5 linked regions of the Rattus norvegicus genome follow. The protein of the gene in region 2 binds, or shares a complex with, the protein of the main gene of each other region. Links are inferred from orthologs where the notes say so. Each region holds a gene or a part of one and is shown on either strand. Other genes may lie near its edges. The genes, in order: Itgb6, Tgfb3, Itgb8, Lrrc32 and Tgfbr2.

Region 1 (4,250 bases), on a different chromosome or scaffold from region 2:
TTGTTATGTCAACTAAAAATTTATCTTAAAAGAGCATATCTGACACAAATGCTCAGAAAACACTTGCCGATGGGTTTTAAAAATGGCGGCAGTATCATAGACAGAGAATCATGGTTCCAACATCCTTCGAATGCAGGCACACATTTCACACTCTGTTTTTTTTTTCCTCTCTCTCAAAGTCTCATCTTTCAGCTCTCTGATCTGGATTCTTACTGCAGGAATCTTTCTGTTTTCTTCCTGGATTGCGTATATGACAGAGTTGAAAACAGACTATAGGCTGCTGGGAAGAAGAAAAAAAAAATCTGAGTACACTATAATTTGTTTTCTTCTCTTTCCAGGTTTCTCACGCCTGCCTGGAAACATACCTTCAAAAGATAGTCTCCCAGGCCTTGAGCTGAGACATAAAGGAGCCTGCCTAAGGTCAGACGGCTTAGAGTGACAGAGTATTTGATTCTTACCTCTCACAGTTTCTACAGGTCCTGAAAGGCCCCTGAAGGGAGGGTGGGGGAGAGGGGGCGGGGGATACGAACCTTGAAGATTTACCTGTAGAATGCACACATTTTGAGCTGTCATTCATAATACAAATAAATGATTCCTATGTGCCAAGCCGGGAGCTGGGAGGCTTTCCTTTCCTTTCCTTTCCTTTTTTTTTTTTTTTTTTTAACCTTGCTTTTAGTAATCATTTGTTTGCTTTGCGATCTTGGTACTTGAAGAGGCGCGCAGGACCTTCTGTGTGTCCAGCGAATGCTCTCTGTCGTCACCGCCCTGGAAGAATGCTCTAGAGACAGATTCAGAATCTTGGCTGCGATTGTTTCTCCCTGCATTGTTTCTGTTGTTACGCTGAGGCTTTCTTTCCATCCAGTTGATCTCCATATACAGTGCTTTTTAATGCACTTTTAAAAAAATAAGAATTCTGGGCGTGTGAAAAAAATACCTCTTATATAATTTGAAAGATAAGAAAACAGTGTTTGGTTCTCCTTTGCCTAACTTCTAATTTGACTGTAAAATAATGTTTTTATTTTCCAGAGCTCGTTTGAATTCTCTGCAGAGGCTCTAACATGAAAACCAAAAATTTCAGGTATTTTCGGTTGGCTTTTTTTTTTTTTTTTAATTAGCCTTCCTTATATTTAGCTTAAGTTCTGGTGTTTTGCTTCACATCCTCACTGCCTTAAACTAAAAATTGTCATAAGAAGCATACATTTAAATCCGTCTTTTGACAGCTCCTTGATTAGCATTTCACTGAAGAGACCGAGTCTCTCTAGGATACAGTACAGCTAATAGAATGCTCACACATAAAAATGTCTCCTGCACCCGAGTCTCCCCACCTTCTCGGTGATTGCACACCTGACTTCCTTATAAGGCGAATGAGGAAGTACGCATGTTGAAGTTGCTTTTAAACACAGCTTTTCTTCTTTGCCTGGCCAGGTAGCTTCTGTTTTCATTTCAGTCTTAATGAAAGCTTTCGAATTTACAGCTCAAGTTACTTTTCAAAGCAGTGTAAGTAGTTTTACTTAAAAAAAAAAAAAAAAAAAAAAAACACTGCAAGAAAGACTTTCACGGCTTCCAGCTTTGGTCTTGTAACCCTGAAGGTAATTCATTTTTAATCTGTCTGCACAGTGAAAACTGAACCGAATGGGGATTGAGCTGGTCTGCCTGTTCCTGCTACTTCTAGGAAGGAATGATCACGTCCAAGGTAAGCCCGGAGCTCTCTCGGATATCGCTCTCATCATGGGCTTGACAAACTGTCATTTGGTTCAGAAAACAGACCCGCAGTCATTTTTCATTTGACCTGTCTGATGGCTCTCCTGCCACTGAGGCACTTGTACAAACTGTAGGCAGGCATAGGGCATTCCCCCCAGTGAACGTTCTAGGTACAAGGTAAATAAACGCAAAGGCTTCACGGGCATTTTAATGAGGAGGATCAGACAGCGTTCCTGAACGATGTGACTTCTGAGTGTTGTTCTGATAGCCACTTCGGAAGCTTTTCTGCTTTGTTACACAACAAGACCATCCACCTGGGAGTCATAATCATGAGTGTGGAAGATTCAGAACCAGAAATGCTGAATTTATACGAGAAACCTCTTTAATGGGTACAGACTTGTTTTTGAAATTAAGTGGCAGGTGTTGAACTGGAGCTGAATCCGATGATTCTGTACTGAGCGGTTAGACATGGTTGTGGTCTGAGAGACTGCTTACATGATGGAGATATAAGCTATAAACTTTGATGTGAGTTGCTGGCCGTCCGAGGATTAATTTCTATATAGCTTTGCTCGAGGAGGAAGGGTTAGTCCTGTAAACGGAATGAAGGGAGAGGGCTTTAATCCTTGGTTGTTTGCCCTTAGGTGGCTGTGCCTGGAGTGGTGCAGAAACCTGCTCAGACTGCCTGCTCACAGGACCTCACTGCGCCTGGTGCTCCCAGGAGGTAAATCCCTGGCTATTGCCCTGTTTCTAACACTGTTTCCACATCCATTAACGTCCTCAGTGAAAGCGCTTCTCTCTGTGGGGTTGAATGACTAACTAGATCGAGAATGGAATGTGGGAGTCAGTGGATCAAAGTTTGTTTTCATCTATACCTTGGAAACGACTCACTGAGGGAACGGATGTCACACTGTCCTTTAAAAACTTAACATCCTTTATTAAATCTAGGCAATTCTCTTATTTAATATAGTCACTTTACTTACTTTTGATTTTTATTTTAGAGACAGGGTCTCACGACATAGCACTGGCTGGCCTGGAACTCACAGAGATGTGGCTGCCTCTGCCTGGCCAGTGGTGCCAGCCTTCCCTTACTATAAAGTCTTTCTAGCTGTTTGCTGGTGTAACATTCTGTCTGGATAATTGGTGGCCATGGAGATATTGTCCAAAGTGACGCAGACATTGAATGCTGATATAATGTAGTTGTGCTCCCTCTGGGACCTGAGAGCCATTGTAAGTCTCTGCTAGGTACTTCAAGAAGGGAAAACTATGATTCAGGCATCAGCCAATTCTTTTGCATAGTCCTGAACAGAGTGAGCACAGCACAGTTCAAAAGCAGTGCAGTGGTTCTCAACCTGTAGGTCACAATCCCTGACTGGGTTGAATGACCCTTTCAAAGGAGTCGCCCGAGATCATTGAAAAACACATAGATTTACATGACGACTCCTAACAGTAGCAAAATCACAGTTATGCAGTATCAACGGAAGTAATTTTGTGGTTGGGAAGGTCACCACAACATGAGGAACTGTATTAAAGGGGTTGCAGCATTTGGAATGTTGAGAACTACTGCTCTAAAGAAACGGTCCTTGTCTGGACAGAGTGAAACTTGTGTGAAGAAGTATGGAGACTGTGAGGACTGAATAACAAGATAGACCAAGTCACAGCCCGTGTCGTGATGCGGAGAGCACGGTGTAGTGTAAAGGATTCACACTAAGAAAAAGCAGCCTTTGGCTTTCTGGATTTTAAGTCCCACCCATTGGAAAGAATCTAAGTGCCAATCAAGGCTTGCAAATGCCAACAGCAGGAGCCAGGTAGCATGCAAAGGGAAAGGAATCTAGATGCCTGGATTAGAACTGGGCTGTAACTGTTAGCACCCAAATCCCCTGTTCATTATGGATCTGTGGAGGGTTGCCTCACATGCAGAAAGTCTCCCCACCCCTGTGCCTCTACACACACACACACACACACACTGCCTTAACTGCTTAGGCAACAAATAACATTCAAGGCAATTATTTTCTTTTAAGGTCAAATATCAAATGCAAGGTTGAGAATATTCAACAAGGAACGAACCCATACACTCTTGTCTAGAAGACAGTATTCGTTTCATAGCAGAGACAAAACATATTGTATCTATCTAGAGTGTATGTTTACTGCGTGTGTGTGTGTGTGTGTGTGTGTGTGTGTTTGTGTGTGTGTGTGTGTGTGTGTGCGCGCGCGCATGGAGGCCAGAAGAGGGAATCAGAACGCCTGAATTACACTTACAGGCAGTTGCAAGTTTCTTGACATGGGTGCCGGGATTTGAACTTGGGTCCTCTAGAAGAGCAATATGCACTCTTAGCCATTGACCTATCTCTTCAGTTCACTAGAATTTATAACTAAATTCATTTTTTAGCATAAATAAGTGTTTCCTAAGGTGTCACTGAGAGTTTGAGTTATAGCTGGTCAGGTGATCATCAAGTATTGGGGCCAAACCATTTTAGAGGCCTCTCCAATAACGAAAGCAGTCACGAGCACGTCAACTGTGGCCATTAGAGCGAAGAATGAGCCAAACGGAG
Region 2 (4,171 bases):
ATCACCTGTGCCAGCTGCAGAGTGCCTGGGCCTGCTTCCTGATGGTACTGTGAGCCTCCGTGGCATTGCCTCTGCCCCACTGAACCCTGACTCCTCCTTAGCATTGAGAAAATATTCTTGTTCACTGCGCCAAGTTGTCACAGGCTAGACCGCTACTCCATTGTCCCCATGACTTCCCTTGATGTTACAACCTGGGAACTGCACAACAACTGTGGTGGGCTGTCCTGGCTTTGTCTGAGGCTACATCTTTTGTAGCCTAGATTTCTGCACAAAATCCACATCCACACCTACCTGTGTAGCCGTGTGTTCACATGGATTGCTCATCATCATCTCAGGGCTCTAGACAGGGTGGGCCCTAGTGACTCAGAATCCCTTCTTCTCAGACTCTCTTCCTGACCCAGACTGTGAGGGTTCCAGGGCCACCCTCTTATCCTCTACTTCCCTCAGACTTGTGACCTTCTCTGATATCTGTGGCTACTATGACTCGCCTTGGTAGGTGACCAAGGAGTCAAGGGTTCATCCCATCTAATCCTGGATGACTCTATAAACTGTGGTCACCAGGCAGTCCCTGAACGGACACCAGTAAGCAGACCCTAGGCAGGGAGCTCCAGGTCTGTCTAGTTTCCAGCCTGGACTCTGCATGGGTAGCCAGATCCTAAGAAAAGGTGATACTCCAGCCAGTCACAGGAAACTGCCCCGAGAACACCTGTATCCCTGCCTCCAGAAACTACACTTTTCTTTCTGCCTGGTGTAGACCAGCTTCCTACTGGCCTTTTGCATCTTCCTTGAGAGCGGCTCCACCCATTGGCGCTCACTCCTGTTCCTTCCCTGCAGCCGGGTTTCTCTAGCCTCCTGCTGTTTGCCCCATGGCCACTCTGACTATGCCAGCCTCCTGGCTCCAGCCAACCCTTCCACCCCAACTTGGGCACTGCCCACCTGGGAGGTGGGCCTGGGCTGAAGTCACCGGGGCACGGAGGACACCTGCTGGCAGGAAAAGCAAACAGAGCAGCTCCCGGACTCAGGCCCAGAGCCGCTTACATTCCTCTTTCCTGGGCTGTCAGTTTCTCAACATCTGCCAAATTTCTCTCTCTTGTATTGAGCTTTTTTAAATCCCCATTCAGTAAACACACATGACTTCCACACGTGTACAAACACACACAGGCGTCTCACCCAGAAGCTTCACAGTTCCTCCGCAGACAGCAGCCTCCTGGGAAGAAACTTCCAGACACACATCCCCATCACCCCCGCAGCCATCCCTTGGGCAGATGCCTTGGGCTATCCAGAACCTCAATCCTGGCCTCCTGTGTCCATTAGCCTGGGAGGCCCTGCTTTATGCATATGAATCTGTCTACTGTGTAATGTAAGAGTCCATATTGCCCAAAAGTCCACGTATGTGGGAATATACATGTGTTACCCTCCCCCTCCCAGCTCACGTGGGTCACGTGTGTGTGTGTGTGTGTGTGTGTGTGTGTGTGTGTGTGTGTGTGTGTGTGTGTGTGTTAGACTGAAAAGCCTCGGTTGGGCTTCCAAAAGCAGCTTAACAAACTCAAATTTGAGGCAGGTACACTGTGTTTCCTGAAAGCCGGGAAGCTGACCCAGAGATGTGGTATAAGGAGCCAGGAAAAGCAGGGAGAATATGGAGATGTCCAGACTCAGATGACCAGGAGGATTTGGGGGCCAGCCAGCCCACCCCTCTACAGAACCCACGTGCTCACAGTGAACCTCTATGTGTTCTCACACACAGATATGTAAGAACATGTTTCCTTAGGTGGCACTATACAGTTCCCAGTTACTACCCACCAAGGGTGTCCTAGGAGTTCCGAACGCCACTTGGCTTCAGGGCTCCTGGCCTCTTGAAGCCCTTGGCTCTTACCAGAATGTCTCTGCGCCTTTCCCACCCACCTACCCAGCTGCAGCTGCAGGGCCTGACCTCTGTATTGAACCCCCGGGGGTGCGCTCTGCTGTATAAGGGCCACCAGGCCCCCCCTCTGTGGAACTCCCTTTTCCAGTTCATCCCCTCCAGAGCAGACACCCAGCAAGCATTGGGACTTACTGTGCTCCGCCAGCCCCTGGATCATGTCGAATTTATGGATCTCTTTGGCATAGTACTCTGACTCCGAGGTTTCCTGAGTGCAGCCTTCTTCCCTCTCCCCGTGCATCTCTTCCAGCAACTCCCGGGTGCTGTTGTAAAGTGCCAGGACCTGATAGGGGACGTGGGTCATCACCGACGGCTCAGGGGGGCTGGTGAGCCTGAGCTTGCTCAAGATCTGTCCCCTAATGGCTTCCACCCTCTTCTTCTTGATGTGGCCGAAGTCCAAGGTGGTGCAAGTGGACAGAGAGAGGCTGACTGTGGCCAAGTTCAGCAGGGCCAGGACCACCAGAGCCCTTTGTAAGTGCATCTTCATGTGTGAACCCAGGAACGAGGCCAGGGGACTGGGGAGGCCTGGCAAGGAGGAGACCCCAGTAGAAAGGGGGAGGAAAACCAGGCGTCCTCCCCAGATCCCAAAGACTGAGGCTTGGCAAGAGGGTGCATGAACTCACTGCGCTGTGTGAGCTTCAGGACTCCCAGGAAGCGCTGGCAACCCCGGGACGAAGTAGCGGACTGTGTGCTGTGTAGCGCTGGGATTCTTGTCCATATATCTAAACAGGTTCTGCCGGGCTCTGACTCCCAGCAGGCCAGGTGGAGGGCAAGCCGAGGGTTGGGAGGGGTGGCAAGGCAGCTGGGAGTGGGAAGAGAGCTGGAGTTTTTCCTTAGGTAAAAATAAATAGAGCGGATATCTGATATTGCCAAACGCCGCTTGGCGATGAGGAGAAAGTGAGTATTTTAAAGAAAGTGCAGAAGAGCCATGGCTGGGTCCCAAAAATCAAGCTCTTTGCCTTGCCCTGAAGGGAGAATTAGAAAAGCGAATGGAAAAGAGAAGGAAAAAAATGTTTAAAAAAAATCACCAGTGGGTATGTGGGGAGAGGCAGCGCTGGGCAACGGCAGGCCCAGCTAAAGGTGGGGGCAGTGCGGGACACACTTGTCTCGGGAGCACTCCATTCATGCTTTCCCTTTTGTTTACACTTCCTCGGGGGCTTTCTAAATGACTCTGTTCGCGCTGCCTCTCCTCTTCATTGGCTGGGATGAGGGATTATATACAACTGGCAAACTGGGAGGGCAGGCCTCTTGGAGACAGCTCCGATAATCCACTTGGACCCAGGGTCACCAGCATCTCAGCTTATCTTCTCTCTCGGCCATGGCTTCTGTCCCTTGCTTCTCTTTAGGAATTAAAAAAAAAATCAAAAGAAAAAGAAAATAGAAGCCGATTCACCGCAGCTGACTCCGGAAAGCGTTATTTCTTCCTCCGCAAGGCCCTTCCCGTGCGCGTCTCGCCTCTCTGTGGCTCAGCCCCCTACACTCGGCCCTCTTCTTCCCTCCCTTTCTCTCTCCCCTTCTCCCTCTCCTCCCTCTCCCTCTCTCTCTCTCACACACACACATGCACACACACTGCTTTCTCTATTTCTCTCTGCTGAAATTTTATACCTCCCTCCCATGACGTATCGGCCTGGGGTGGGGGAGGGAGGGAGGGACCAGCGCACACAGCCTCTCTCGCTGCACGGTTTTAATGTTTTAAACAGGCACAGGAAAAGCCGAGCCCATTTGAAAAATACTTTGTGAGTCCTCTGGTTCGACGTGGTAACTGAACTTTTTTTTCCCCTCCTCTTGGAGTCATTCCTGCTACACGTTGGCTGTTTTTCTGGAAAGTTACTCCCGAGCCCCCTCCCTCCTGCTACCCCGGCCCCTCTGCGCCGGGGCCAGCTGTCAGTCCACGCTCCCCGCCTCGCGCTCTCGCCTCCCCCGCGTCCCGGATCGCCCCCGGTCGGACAGGGGACACAGGCTAGGTTCGCTAGGGGAGAAGGGCCGGGCGGTCCGGCCACTCTCTCCAGGCCCCAGGGTGGAACCGGGCTCGGCCGCGATCCTGGCAGCGGTTCCTCACTGACCATCCCGAGCCCGGCAGCTGCTGCTGGGGTAAATGATGGCACTTTCCGGAAGGCCGAGGGTGCCCTCTGGCGAGGCAGGGCCGCCAGTGACAGAAGCTTGGAGGCAAGCAACACCAGATCCTGCGATCACGTCCCGACCCCACGCGCCAGCCGCTCCCCATCCAGTGCGGCTGAGCACTTGGCCCCAACC
Region 3 (3,509 bases), about 35 Mb from region 2:
TGCTGTAGTTTAGATCTGAAACATCCCTCATGGCCCTTTGTTTGAACACTGTGTCCTCAGCTTCTGACACTGTTTAGAAAGGATATGGCTGGTATAGTGGGTCATTGGGAGAGACTTTCGGAAGCCATACCCAACTCTGCTACCTCTGTAACACTCTGATCCCTAATCTATAAAGATAAGAAAATAGTGGGTCATTGAGCTCCTGCTGCTCCAACTACCGTGCCATCTCCACCAAGATAACTGGCTGTATTCTCTAATCTGTGAGAGAAAACAATCTAACCTAAGTTGCCTCTATCCAGTATTGAGTCATGTACACAGTGATACACAGTGGCAGTCGCACAATAGGAAAAGAATCTTGATAGTGTGTAAATTTATGATAATTGTGCTACATAATAAAATATCACTGCAAACCACTAAGATGACTCAGTGACTACAGGTACTTGTTACACTTGACCACTCTAGTTCAATCCCTGGGATCCACAGGACAGAAGCACAGAACTGATTCTGACTCCTGCAAATTGTTGTCTAACCTCAGCATATATGTTGTGACAAGTGTGCTTACACACACACCAAATACAAATGAAAATGTCACTGTCTTACTGACATCTGAGATGTGTGAATGAAGACTGCATGATGTTTTTCTTTCTTTGAATTAGGAGCTGAAGCTAATTTTATGCTAAAAATCCGTCCCCTGAAGAAGTACCCTGTGGATCTTTATTATCTGGTTGATGTGTCAGCATCAATGCACAATAATATAGAAAAATTGAATTCCGTTGGAAACGATTTATCTAAAAAAATGGCCCTTTTTTCCCATGACTTCCGTCTTGGTTTTGGCTCATATGTGGATAAAACTGTCTCACCATACATTAGTATCCACCCGGAAAGGATCCACAATCAGTGCAGGTATCTAATGTTTCTTGTGAATAATAGTAAAAGAATCTTTCTTACGTTGTTTGTTCTAATATGAAGACTTACCGTGTTTCAAAATATTGTCTTCTTAAATAAAAGTTAAAAGTATTTGAAGAGGATCTTTCTTCTTCTCTGGAAACATTTAAGTTATATTTCCTCAAATATTGTTTATTTGCTTTTTGCCATAGGAGAAAACCTTACCTTTTACTAGTAATTTTGTATGAATTTACACCAATGAGGCTGACATACATATAAATACCTCTGGATATTGTATATTCCTCCTTTGTGGTTGCTCCAAATTTGTTGCTTTTAGGTTTGGCACATTTTATACTATTTATCATCACAATATTACACTGACATCTTACTATATTGTGATAGTGTATACTTGCATTGTTAATGATGTAACCAACTGTCTCAAAGATTATAGATCAAAAAATATGAATTTGATTCTAAATAGTACCTGCTTCCCCAAGCAAAGAAAACTAACTCCAGGCATGCAAGTTTATACATAGTACATCACTTGTTAAAATTTCAGAGAAATGACTCTGTAAACCTCTTGTCCCATAAATCATTTTCTTAAAGGAATTTTCTATTTCTATAAACTGCTCCAATCTTTTCACTCTACACATTCAAACTTGAAGAAATAGCTATCAATTAGACAAAATGGTATTGACTTATCTTTTACAGGACATTGAGAAGCCTTCTCCATTTCTTTATTCATTCATTCATAAGGTTTTCTGTGATCAGGTGTTACTTTGTAGCTTAGACTGACCCAGAATTCTCAATCCTGACACCTCCGCCTCCCTAGGGCTTCGGTAACATTATGCGGAGCTTGAACAATCTCCCTGAAGGAGAGCCTACCTGAGGAATGAGTCTCTTTCTGAGTTGCCAGAGTGTTACCAAAGTCATTCTCATAAGTTTTACTGCTCACTAATAGTTCCACAGCAAGCTTCATTTTCAAAATTAGTATGATATCTTTTTAGAAATAAAAATGCAATATGCTATTTAAGCTGAATTCCCCAATTATCTCCCTGGATGTATTTCTCATCAGCTCTAAGACCAACTGTGATAGAAAATTAGTACAAATTCTTAGGTTCCTCTTAAAAATTCAGCTGTCATTAGCATATTAAAATACTTCATTGTCCTGTGTTCATGAAATACATAGAATCTTGAGTTTTGAACATCAAACCTTATAGTTCTATATTCTACTCACAAACATTAAGTGTTCACCAACATTAAATTCTCCAGTCTTACAGACTTTCTGTTATAAAAATTTCCCCACCCATTTCTTCTTACAGCAACTACCTAATCTGACTGTTAATAGTGCTTTGAAAATTTTAAGGAAGCACAGAAAACTAGATTTTGAACTTCCTTTTCCCACACAGTGACTACAATTTAGACTGTATGCCTCCCCATGGATACATTCATGTGCTGTCTCTGACAGAAAACATCACTGAGTTTGAAAAAGCAGTCCACAGACAAAAGATCTCTGGAAACATAGACACTCCTGAAGGAGGTTTTGATGCCATGCTTCAGGCTGCCGTCTGTGAGGTAAGTTAGTTTTGCATACTGGGTGCATAAGTGCTCAGATGTAGATGAGAGGGCAAGAGTTTTATGTTCTAGTTGATTTGTGGAGTGGAAACAGTGTGAAGAAATACATTTAAAAAAATTTAACTTCTTATCACTATTGAGATTCATTTTGCTATATGCTGGGATAATGGAACCAGGTTGGGAAACAACTATAGAGAGAAGATGAGATTTAACAAAGAGAATGCTTTTTTCTTGTACACACCTTAAGACAGAGTCAGAAAGTCTTGTGTCCCACTCCTGTCATGTCATTTGGTTTTATTCTTCCTTCAGTGGACCATGTGCCCCTATAGTCAGGAACTAGAGTGGCCAGATGATAGTGAAGGAGAGAAGGGTAAACAAATACTTAGGCATGCTATTTTAGAGACAGTACATCATTCAAGCCCGACAATGTTTGTCAATTCAAACATATCGTTTACTTGAGGTAAAGACCGCAGTGAGATCCATGTCATTGTACAAGGTCTAATTACATGTTTATTTTAAGAGTCATATTGGATGGCGAAAAGAAGCTAAAAGATTGCTGCTGGTGATGACAGACCAGACATCACATCTCGCTCTTGACAGCAAATTGGCAGGCATAGTGGTGCCAAATGACGGAAACTGCCATCTGAAAAACAATGTCTACGTCAAATCAACAACCATGGTAATGTAGCAACAGCCTTTCCTAGCTATAATGACCTCTTAGGCTAAAATTAAAGTTAAAATTGTCAATTCAGCCACTCTTGTCCCAGGAAATTACCTAAAAGCAAGTTGCAAAACCAAGATGGACCAGGAACCAACACCTATGGAGCAGAATACTCTACAATTACTGGTTGAGAAAGTTGATGTCTGAACGTCACTGATACTGTCTAGTATCTGACTCTGACAAGCTACTAAGAACTGTAGAGGTTTTTTTGGTTTTGAGTTTTTATTTTTTTTCAAATAAAGTGATAATAAGGGCTTATTTTCATGTGATTCAGAGGTCTTATAAAGAAAGAAAAACAAGGCTTTGCTTTGTGGAAATAAGCTACTTC
Region 4 (4,174 bases), on a different chromosome or scaffold from region 2:
CTCGGTAAGAGAATGAGACTTGTCACTCTGAAGACGGCCTTGGGAGAGATCTGCAGGCCTGTGCCTGCTCTTTTGACGGTCAGAACCCACTGGGGATGAATCTCAGTGCAGTGGCTGTCCATCTTGCTGAGACACACAGGGGCCAGCATGGGCCTTTTGACTCTCCTTCCTGGCTCCCCCAGAGCCCAGCCCTGCCCCACAGTGCTCCACTTTCACTGCAGGCTATGAGGAAATTTTGTTCCTTTGGTTCAAATGAAGTCCCCACCTGCTTAACATCAGCATTCTTAGAGCTAAATGAAAACCCCCGGCCTTCATCTCCAGGCCCTGGGCAGCCAGCCCTCCCTGGGCCAACTCTTGTCTCCCACCTGACTTGACATTGTCCCCACTCTCTCTGGGCCCTGAACACATGTACACACGTGTGCTTCCTTTGGACCTCTGGAACCCTCACTTCCTCTGCCTCCCCTGCAGCTGAATATTTCCTCACCCCGTGGAGCTTAGATGCCAGATCCTCTGGGGAGCCTTTTCTGGTCCCCCACAGATGCCTTGTGTTCTCCGGGCTCTTGAAGTTGCTGAGCTTTGGACAGCCCAGTGTGGGGCACAGAGCACACCCCACTATGATTCCCTACCCTTTAAAATGAAAGTACCCGTGGGTACACCTCATGACACAGGGAAGCCAGATAGAGAGCACAGCGGCAGGCAAATCTCCTCTGTGGGATGCAGATGAGGAGAGGTCTCCCAACTCCCTCCATCCCCCCCCCCATCCCCTCCCTGCCCTAGCCCACCAGGTTCAAAGCTGCCCACCTTCACTGTAACAGCCAACTCCACTGTTTGTGTTCTTGCTTCCCTCCAGTACGGGACAATCTGTCCCATCCATGGCAGCCAGTGACGTTTCAAAGTCACATGCCAGATCTTACAAATCACTTTGAAATCTCCAGTAGTGTTCAGGCTTCACACACTCGCCCATCAGCTCCTCCTACCACCTTTCCCCCCTCAGCAGACTCCTCAGTCACCTCAGTACCTTCCTGGCTGCCTGGGGACTCTGCTTTGCTGCTCCCTCCTGGTCCAGGATGTTCCTGCTCAAGCTCCTGGGTGCTGTATCCCTCCTCCCCCCATTTCTCATTTGCTTCATTCCTTAAGTATATGCTCACTAAACTTCTCTCAGGGAACAAGTGGCTGAATTACGTCAGAAGTTTGGCTGCAGTAAGGACAAGTCAGGACCTGGGGTTAAGCTGGGGATGCCCAAAGGGACCCTATCTCTCCTTCTTCTGCCAAGTCCTGTTCTACCCCACCATAGGGCTTCTGCATATCCAGAAGGGACAGCCCCCACTGAACCACAGAAATATGATGGAGAAACTCCCTGCTGTGCCCCATCTGCAGCATTGAGATCTTCAGTCCCACAGGGAAGACCAGAGGCATTCGAACCCTGGGTCACTGTCAAGTCCCAACACTCACTAGTATGGCCCCCAGGGCAAGTTCTGCCTGGGTGATTCATCTGCAGCGTACACCAGTTCCCATTCGGACACTAGCTATCCTTAGCCATGGGATGATGAGGTGGGGTGTGGCCAGGAAAGCACTAAGGCCCTACAGTGTCCTTCCCTGAAGGTTCAGTACCAATGGTGCTGAGGAGAGAGGTCCTAGCTCTGCAGGCAGGTGGCTGGATTCTGATTGGAGAGGTGTCAAAGAATCTCTCTCTCTCTCTCTCTCTCTCTCTCTCTCTCTCTCTCTCTCTCTGTGTGTGTGTGTGTGTGTGTGTGTGTGTGTGTGTGTGTGTGTGACAGAGGGAAACAGACAGACAGATAATGGGGGCAATCCTATAATAAAAATAAGACTGCCCCTACTATACAAGGAGGTCACACATTTTTCTAAGCCATAGGTCGATTACGGGTCTTTTAATTCTCATGACCACCAAGTGAGGTGATTACTATAATTCCCATATACAGACCAGAGGACGGAACGGAGGTTTGGGAAGGCCAAATGCCTGATCCCTAGGCCCTACGTGTGCTAAAACTGGGACCGAGCCAGATCTATATAGTCCCTTAGTGCTGTGTGGTCTCTACTAGTGCAGACCCCACTGGCACCCTGTAGAAATCTCTCCTGGACCATGTGGTTCAGAGAAATGACTTACCCAAAGTCACTTGTACAGTAAACAGAAGAGTCAGAATCAGAATCCAAGCCCTGTGTCTCCAAAGCAACTGCCAAGACTTCCTTCCTAAGGTAGCCGAGGAGCCCACAGGTCCTGGGCCTGGCTCAGGAGTACACTGAGTGGTAGGGCTCTCAATCTGCTATGATGTACTGGCAAAAGGGGTCTGGGAGAGCAGCTTCAAGGCTCACAGGGCAGTGAATCACTAAGGGCAGCCCATTCTAGAGACATCCCACATCTCAGGGGATCAGACTTTAACCCAAAGGAATGAGCATATGATGTGAAATGTCAGGGAGGAGATGGGGTAGGGGATTCCTCCTATCCATAAAGAAGGGAGGCTTCAAGTCTCCCCAGAGTGCTGGGTATCCCCTCCAGAGACAAGAGTGATGGTGCGGAAAGCCCATGTCCGCCTGGGGCAGACCTGAATTCAAATCCTTAAGTGCTAGGTTGGCTGTATGCTCCGAGGCACGCACGGAGTTTCCGGCCTCGATTTTCCCAGCTGTCAAATGGGAACGCCTATCCGAACCCTTCCCTGGGTAGATAAGCTAATACCCGGGTGCAGAAGGAGAGTCCGGCCCCAGCTCCCTAGGCACCGCCGCCTTCCGCCGCCCCTACCTGGCTCAGCGCCGCCGCCGCCGCCCGACTCCTCCGAACATCGTTCGCACAACCCCGGGGGTCTGGCCCGCCGTGGCCCGGCTGCTCTAGCGCCGCTCCAGCCGGCGGCAAGGGGGCGGCTCCCGCCTTTTAAATAGCACCCCTCTCGGCCACGCCCCCTGGGGCTGGGAGCCGCGGGGTCCTAACACCGCCCTGCCAGTTGCGCGGACCTAGGAACCGAACATCACCTCTGCTCTCGAATCGCCCGCCCCGGGCCAGGGCGGCACTTGAAACCGAAAAACGTCTGGAGGGAGAAGGATCACAAAGGAAACTGAGCGGGGGCAGCGCACGTGCAGCCGTGGGCATGCGAGGTCTGGGGTGCGGGGAGCCGCAGGTCCGCGGAGGAAATCCTGGCGCCACCGCACTAAGGCGGGGGTGGGGTGGGGTGGGGGTGGGCTCACCCAGAGGTGACTGACAACCTCGGGCACGGAAGGAAGTGACCCTTCTTTGGCCCTGGGACGACCCTGAGGGGGTTCCCCCGTACCTCGGGTATCCTGCCTTTAAGTCATCTCTAAGCCTGTCAAAGTCTCCAACTAACGGATGGAGAAACTGAGGCCAGGAGTTGGAGTTGGGGTGAAGGATAGGACGGCGAATATGTATGAAAAGCCAGTTGACTGAGACTTGTCAGTTCCCTGCGTACAGTTGGAGGACCCGAGGCTCGCATAGCTTGAATTGCATAATGATAGTCTCACAACTTACCCAAAGCTGCTGCCTTTTCAAGTACTTAGCCTTCTCAGTCACTGGCACCGTGTCCTGCTGGGTCTAGACTGAAAGATGGGTGATCCTGGGAGAAGAGCGTTACCACTGTGTTCCAGTCCCTGGTTCGGCATTCATAATGTTCTCCCAGGTTCGCGTCCATGGGGTCATGTACCAAAAAAGGGGCTTGTGGCTACTCTGGAGCATGGGCAGAGCATGAGCAAAGATTCAAAGCCGTCCACCATATCTTAACGGCAGCCAGCGTGAGAGTAAGCAGCACCAAGCAGGGTGAGCCAGAGTGGAGCTGGGCCTTCCCTCCCATCTAATTCAGTGCTGAGTAGTGGGAACCCTGACACTACGGTCAGGAAAAGTTTCATGAAGGAGGCATCCCCTGATGTCAGGGCAGCAGAGTAGCCAAGCTTCCTGTCCCCCCACCCCCACCTCAGGAACTCACAGGGTCCTGGCTCCCAGGAGCACCCCAGCCCTTGTCTGTACTATCTAGTCAGACTGAACTTCAGTTTCCCTCTCTGCAAAGTATGGGATGACAAGAGCTGCTCTTTTGGACATAGTACGAGGACAGGATGAAGTTGATGGGCCTGTACCCAATGGATGTTAGAGAATGTTCCTCCCCTCATCTGCAGCTTTAGGTGTCCGACACCTTTTTCAGGTTCGTGTCCATGGGGT
Region 5 (4,029 bases), on a different chromosome or scaffold from region 2:
ATCTAAGAAGCCTGCCTGAGTAAATGAAGTGGAACAACTGAAGACCACCCTCTCTCTGTCAACCTCCAGCCTCCACACCCATGAGCACCCTCTGTCAACCTGCAGCCTCCACACCCATGAGCACCCTCTGTCAACCTCCAGCCTCCACACCCATGAGCACCCAAGGGTGTGCCCACCCTAGTCCAGTACTCATGTACAGCACCCTCAGAGAAACATGAGGAAAAGAAGTTTTAAATAATTTTCTTTAGTGTGAATTTCTCTTACACTGAAATCGCTTGTTCACTTGCCAGGCTGGTCAGCATGAGATATTTGTTTGTTTAGGACTGACTAGGGCTTTGTAAAGAATCCTCCTTCCTTCTCATTGTCTCTTGCATTAAAGTTATCTTGAGAAACATTCTCACAGTTTACCACTATGTCAGAGAAATCCCAATACCCTTTTCTTCTCTGGAAACTGAAAAGGCAAGTGGAATTCCACACATCCTTTCCCTGGGACCAACTTTAAACCATCTTTAAAGACTTTGATCCACATGGGTACAACTCAAAATGAACTGTCCAAACATTCTGGAATAGCAATTCCATAAAATGTTTAAAAAGAAAAAACTCTCTGTTTTATAAAATCATTTAAAGCCCAAATTAACAAGACCCACCAAGCCCATCAGCTAATTGTTTAAAACTGTGTATAAATGACCCACAAGCTACAGAGCCTGGAACTCGAAAATCGCAAATCTCACTCTTGTAAACAAAACTCAAACTGGGGCCTCTGGACTTTGGTTCTTCCCGAGCTAAAACAAATGTTTTATGTACACAAAAAGAAGGGTGTTCTTTCGGATGGTCTTCAGCAAAACGCGGCAGTTTTTCTTTTAATTTTTTTCTTCCTGCGTGTGTTTATGTGTGTTCGGGGTAGGGTCTGTGTGCATGGGAAGGGGCAGGGGAGGACACCAAGTGCCCTCTGTCACTCTCCATGGAGTCTCTCTCTGAACCTAGAGCTAGCTTGGCATCTAGAAATTTCCAAAGGGTCTTCAGTCTTCTCTCACTACCACTGGGCTGGCGATGAACCACGCCCAACTTTGCATACGGACCCTGGGGGGTTTGAACTCAGGTCCTCAAGCTTGCACAGCAAATGCTCTTACCAGCCGGGCCAAATCTCCCAGCCCAGTTTTAAGAGGCTGGAGTAACATCAGAAACAGTTGGGCTTTCTGGAGCTGCCCTTTAACGGAAACCAACGACACGAAAGCAGAGTTTATGAAACGACTAAGACCCTGGTGGGATTTTTGTTGTTTTCCTTTATCGGACTCTTCCCTGAGATGGTCCGCTCCTGTTTGCAATATGATCCAAAACCGTTAAATCACTCCAACTACTGACATCTTCAAAGCCCTCCCTCGAACCCCACCTCCGCGCCCGGCAACACGCACACACAGGGCCACCCCATCCTCTGTGTTTCACCCCAAATCCACCCTGGCCACCTCTTAGTCACCAAGGAAGGTCATGGAAAGCCAGTGATGAAAAGAGTGTAAACTTACACAAACTGAACCACTGAGTTATACACAAGGGGAAACCGAGGCCCAGAGCCACGAGATTTGCCCGGATAGTGGTCCTACACAGATAGCAGCAACAATTCTAACTTTAGGGTTAAAATGTCAGACTTTAAACTTCCCAAAAAAGTTCTTAGGAAGGAGCCCTAGTTCTTGCACCACCCCTGCGATGGGACCTGGAGGGCAACCCGGGTTAGGTGTTTCCACTGAACCGCAGCTGCTGAGATCTTTAATTCCAGGCAGTACCCGTGCAGTCCAACACTTAGTAGGCATGCAGCAAATTTTTCTCAGCCATCAACCCGACCACCCTCACTGGGTCCGCATCCCAGCAGGCCAGGAAACAGTGAGGCTAGAGATCAGTTCTTTTCTCTAACTTGTACCCAGTGAGTCGCGGCCCAGAATCCCTCCCGAGGTGGCAGAGCTGAGGGCTGGGAGTCTGGTTTAGTCGCGGTGTCTCGGGCAGTGAGCGGCCCAGGTGTGCAGCAGCTGGGCGGCCAGTCCCCTGCCGATGCTCCTCCAACTTCCAACTTCTTAAACTTCCCTTTCCGGGGATGCAGGCCCCTCGTGGCCGCCCTCGCCTCTCGTGCGCTCACAAAGGGGTCAGGAGCGTCCCCAAGTCCCCCGCAAGTGGACTGTCCTGCTCTTTTGCGAGAGATCTTCCCCGGAACCCCGCGGGCCCGAGCCGACTCGGGCCGCTACAAACTTCCCGTTTCCGCCCTCGCGCCGGGTCCCGCGGCCGACTGTCAGTCGCTGCCCTGGGGGTTGGAGAAGGAGCGAGGAGCCCTAGTGAACCCCCCAGCGTCGCGCCCCGGCCACTCACTCACCCGACTTGGGAACGTGCGGCGGGATCGTGCTGGCGATGCGCGTCCACAGGACGATGTGCAGCGGCCACAGGCCCCGGAGCAGCCCCCGACCCATGGCAGCCCCCGTCGCTCGTCATAGACCGGCCCCTGGGGCGCCGCGAACCGAGCCTCGGGGACCCCGGGCTGCGCCTTTATTCCTCGCCCTCTCAGGATGCCTGCGCCGCCCGGAGCGCGCTGGGCAGAGGTGCGGGCCAGATGTGGCCGGCGATCCCCGGAGCTCGGAGGCCCGGAGGAGGCCCCCGGCGGCCGAGGAGAGCTGCGCAGGAGGCTGGGGCTCCGTCCCCCAGGCGAGCGTGTGCGCGCGCGGGGGGTGTCGTCGGTCGGTGCGCGCGAGTGACTCACTCATCAACTTTACCCGGGCGCCGGGAGGGAAACAGGAAACTCCTCGCCAACAGCTGGGCAGGACCTCTCGCCGCCCAAGAGCCTTCCAGCTCCGGTCCTCTCCTCCAGCTTCCAGCCCTCGCCTTCCTCCGGCCACCAATCAAGGCCGCTGGATTGGACCTTGAGGGACTCTACGAACTTTGAGTTGCCCACTCCCAGCGCTCCCACTCACCCCGACCCTGCTAAGTCCCGGCTCCAAGTTCAAACTCAGAAGTGACTAAGCGCACGTTTCGCAAAACAAGCTAGAAGGTGGTGTAAACCACTTTCCTTGATACCCTCCTCCAAGCATCCCCTACACCTTCTAGGCATTGCTCCCAGGGACTTCATAACTCCGTTGAGACCCAGGAGGGAGCTCTGAAATGTAGCTCCAGAGTCCCGAACACGTGGTTTCCCCTAATAAAATAACGGTAAGCACTTCATGAGAACTTAGTTTCAGTTTTATGGACATGCATGCGTGATTACGTTTGTAAAGGACTGTTTCTTACTGTGGAACAAAAGTCCAGGGGCTTGTCTCCGAGTTTAGTGTGCGAATTAATCACTCTGGGCTAGGAAGTTAGCTAACCTGCAGGTTCTGGTTTAGTAGGTCTGAACCGGCAGCGTCTGCATTTCTAATGAGCACCTGGGTAGAGCCTCGGATTGGAAGGACCATTTCCTGGGCGTGGTCTGCTGGGTAAAGCCAAATAGTTGGCCCTGTGATCGCGGTAGGGCTGGTATTTTCAGGGTGTTGCCTGTCAGAAACTAAAGAAATAAAAGTGTTTTGGGGACCAGGCTGGGATGGCGCACGTGGGCGGGACTCTACGAGTTCGGGGCCAGCCTCGTCTACAGAGTGAGTTCTATGGCAGCTAAAGCTATACTGTCCTGGAAAACCAAAAATAAAATGAATAAAAAATAAAATAAAAAGTGTCTTAGGTTGGGGGGTTCTGCTTTCTGTTTTCCAATGATCAATCTTTGATAATTCAGGTAAGGACAGAAAATACGTGGCTGAAGGTAGAAAGGCTATCAGTAGGAAGACCCATCAAAATTTTCATTCTTTCTGGTGTGACCACATTTTCCAGAGACAATCTCTGTGGTGTATGTGTGTGTGCGTGCATGTGTGCATGCATGTGCATGTGCGTGAGCGTGTGTGTGTGCGTGTGTGTGTGTGCATATGCATGTGCATGTAGGTTTGGGTGTGTGGGTGTGCGCGTGTGCATGTGTGAACCTGTCTGTGTGGGGCACGTGGAGGCCGTAAGTTCACATCCCATGTGTACCTC

What was found.
Region 1: the proteins of Tgfb3 (region 2) and Itgb6 are in contact, whole or in part, in a crystal structure (PDB 4UM9), measured with the Homo sapiens proteins. The link is inferred for Rattus norvegicus from reciprocal best matches to the Homo sapiens genes TGFB3 and ITGB6. Residues at the interface, in NP_001316868.1 of Homo sapiens: His259, Gly262, Asp263, Leu264, Arg266, Leu267, Lys268; in NP_000879.2 of Homo sapiens: Ser142, Ala143, Ser144, Asp147, Pro196, Cys197, Ser199, Ile200, Tyr202, Cys204, Ala234, Asn235, Ile236, Asp237, Thr238, Glu240, Asp271, Lys355.
Region 3: the proteins of Tgfb3 (region 2) and Itgb8 are in contact, whole or in part, in a cryo-EM structure (PDB 8VS6), measured with the Homo sapiens proteins. The link is inferred for Rattus norvegicus from reciprocal best matches to the Homo sapiens genes TGFB3 and ITGB8. Residues at the interface, in NP_001316868.1 of Homo sapiens: Gly262, Asp263, Leu264, Arg266, Leu267, Lys268; in NP_002205.1 of Homo sapiens: Ser156, Ala157, Ser158, Asn161, Arg206, Gln210, Cys211, Tyr214, Leu216, Ser247, Gly248, Asn249, Ile250, Asp251, Thr252, Glu254.
Region 4: the proteins of Tgfb3 (region 2) and Lrrc32 are in contact, whole or in part, in a cryo-EM structure (PDB 8VSB), measured with the Homo sapiens proteins. The link is inferred for Rattus norvegicus from reciprocal best matches to the Homo sapiens genes TGFB3 and LRRC32. Residues at the interface, in NP_001316868.1 of Homo sapiens: Leu24, Ser25, Thr26, Cys27, Thr28, Leu30, Pro347, Pro349, Tyr350, Leu351, Arg352, Thr357, His358, Val361, Leu364, Leu368, Ser375; in NP_001122394.1 of Homo sapiens: Ala110, Ser135, Tyr137, Ser160, Val184, Met186, Asp187, Ile188, Asp190, Phe193, Leu202, Leu204, Arg206, Asn207, Ser208, Thr210, Cys211, Ile212, Ser213, Asp214, Phe215, Ser216, Leu217, Cys227, Asn228, Ser229, Lys254.
Region 5: the proteins of Tgfb3 (region 2) and Tgfbr2 are in contact, whole or in part, in a crystal structure (PDB 9B9F), measured with the Homo sapiens proteins. The link is inferred for Rattus norvegicus from reciprocal best matches to the Homo sapiens genes TGFB3 and TGFBR2. Residues at the interface, in NP_001316868.1 of Homo sapiens: Arg325, Lys331, Trp332, His334, Tyr390, Tyr391, Val392, Gly393, Arg394; in NP_003233.4 of Homo sapiens: Leu50, Phe53, Asp55, Ser72, Ile73, Thr74, Ser75, Ile76, Glu78, Val100, Asp141, Glu142.

The regions. Positions count from the first base shown.
Region 1 is NC_086021.1:65,527,530-65,531,779, reverse strand, and holds the start of Itgb6 (integrin beta-6 precursor), read left to right. Parts: upstream 1-1,446; 5' UTR 1,447-1,497; intron 1,498-1,617; 5' UTR 1,618-1,632; coding exon 1,633-1,693; intron 1,694-2,342; coding exon 2,343-2,422; intron 2,423-4,250. UniProt on the Homo sapiens protein: Integrin alpha-V:beta-6 (ITGAV:ITGB6) is a receptor for fibronectin and cytotactin. It recognizes the sequence R-G-D in its ligands. Internalization of integrin alpha-V/beta-6 via clathrin-mediated endocytosis promotes carcinoma cell invasion.
Region 2 is NC_086024.1:111,454,144-111,458,314, forward strand, and holds the start of Tgfb3 (transforming growth factor beta-3 proprotein preproprotein), read right to left. Parts: upstream 2,804-4,171; 5' UTR 2,406-2,803; coding exon 2,054-2,405; intron 1-2,053. UniProt on the Homo sapiens protein: Transforming growth factor beta-3 proprotein: Precursor of the Latency-associated peptide (LAP) and Transforming growth factor beta-3 (TGF-beta-3) chains, which constitute the regulatory and active subunit of TGF-beta-3, respectively.
Region 3 is NC_086024.1:146,299,245-146,302,753, reverse strand, and holds part of Itgb8 (integrin beta-8 precursor), read left to right. Parts: intron 1-656; coding exon 657-903; intron 904-2,294; coding exon 2,295-2,460; intron 2,461-2,980; coding exon 2,981-3,139; intron 3,140-3,509. UniProt on the Homo sapiens protein: Integrin alpha-V:beta-8 (ITGAV:ITGB8) is a receptor for fibronectin. It recognizes the sequence R-G-D in its ligands.
Region 4 is NC_086019.1:162,196,337-162,200,510, reverse strand, and holds the start of Lrrc32 (transforming growth factor beta activator LRRC32 precursor), read right to left. Parts: upstream 2,809-4,174; 5' UTR 2,756-2,808; intron 1,711-2,755; exon of another isoform or gene 1,019-1,710; intron 1,005-1,018; exon of another isoform or gene 875-1,004; coding exon of another isoform or gene 802-874; intron 1-801.
Region 5 is NC_086026.1:124,758,664-124,762,692, forward strand, and holds the start of Tgfbr2 (TGF-beta receptor type-2 precursor), read right to left. Parts: upstream 2,807-4,029; 5' UTR 2,451-2,806; coding exon 2,357-2,450; intron 1-2,356. UniProt on the Homo sapiens protein: Transmembrane serine/threonine kinase forming with the TGF-beta type I serine/threonine kinase receptor, TGFBR1, the non-promiscuous receptor for the TGF-beta cytokines TGFB1, TGFB2 and TGFB3.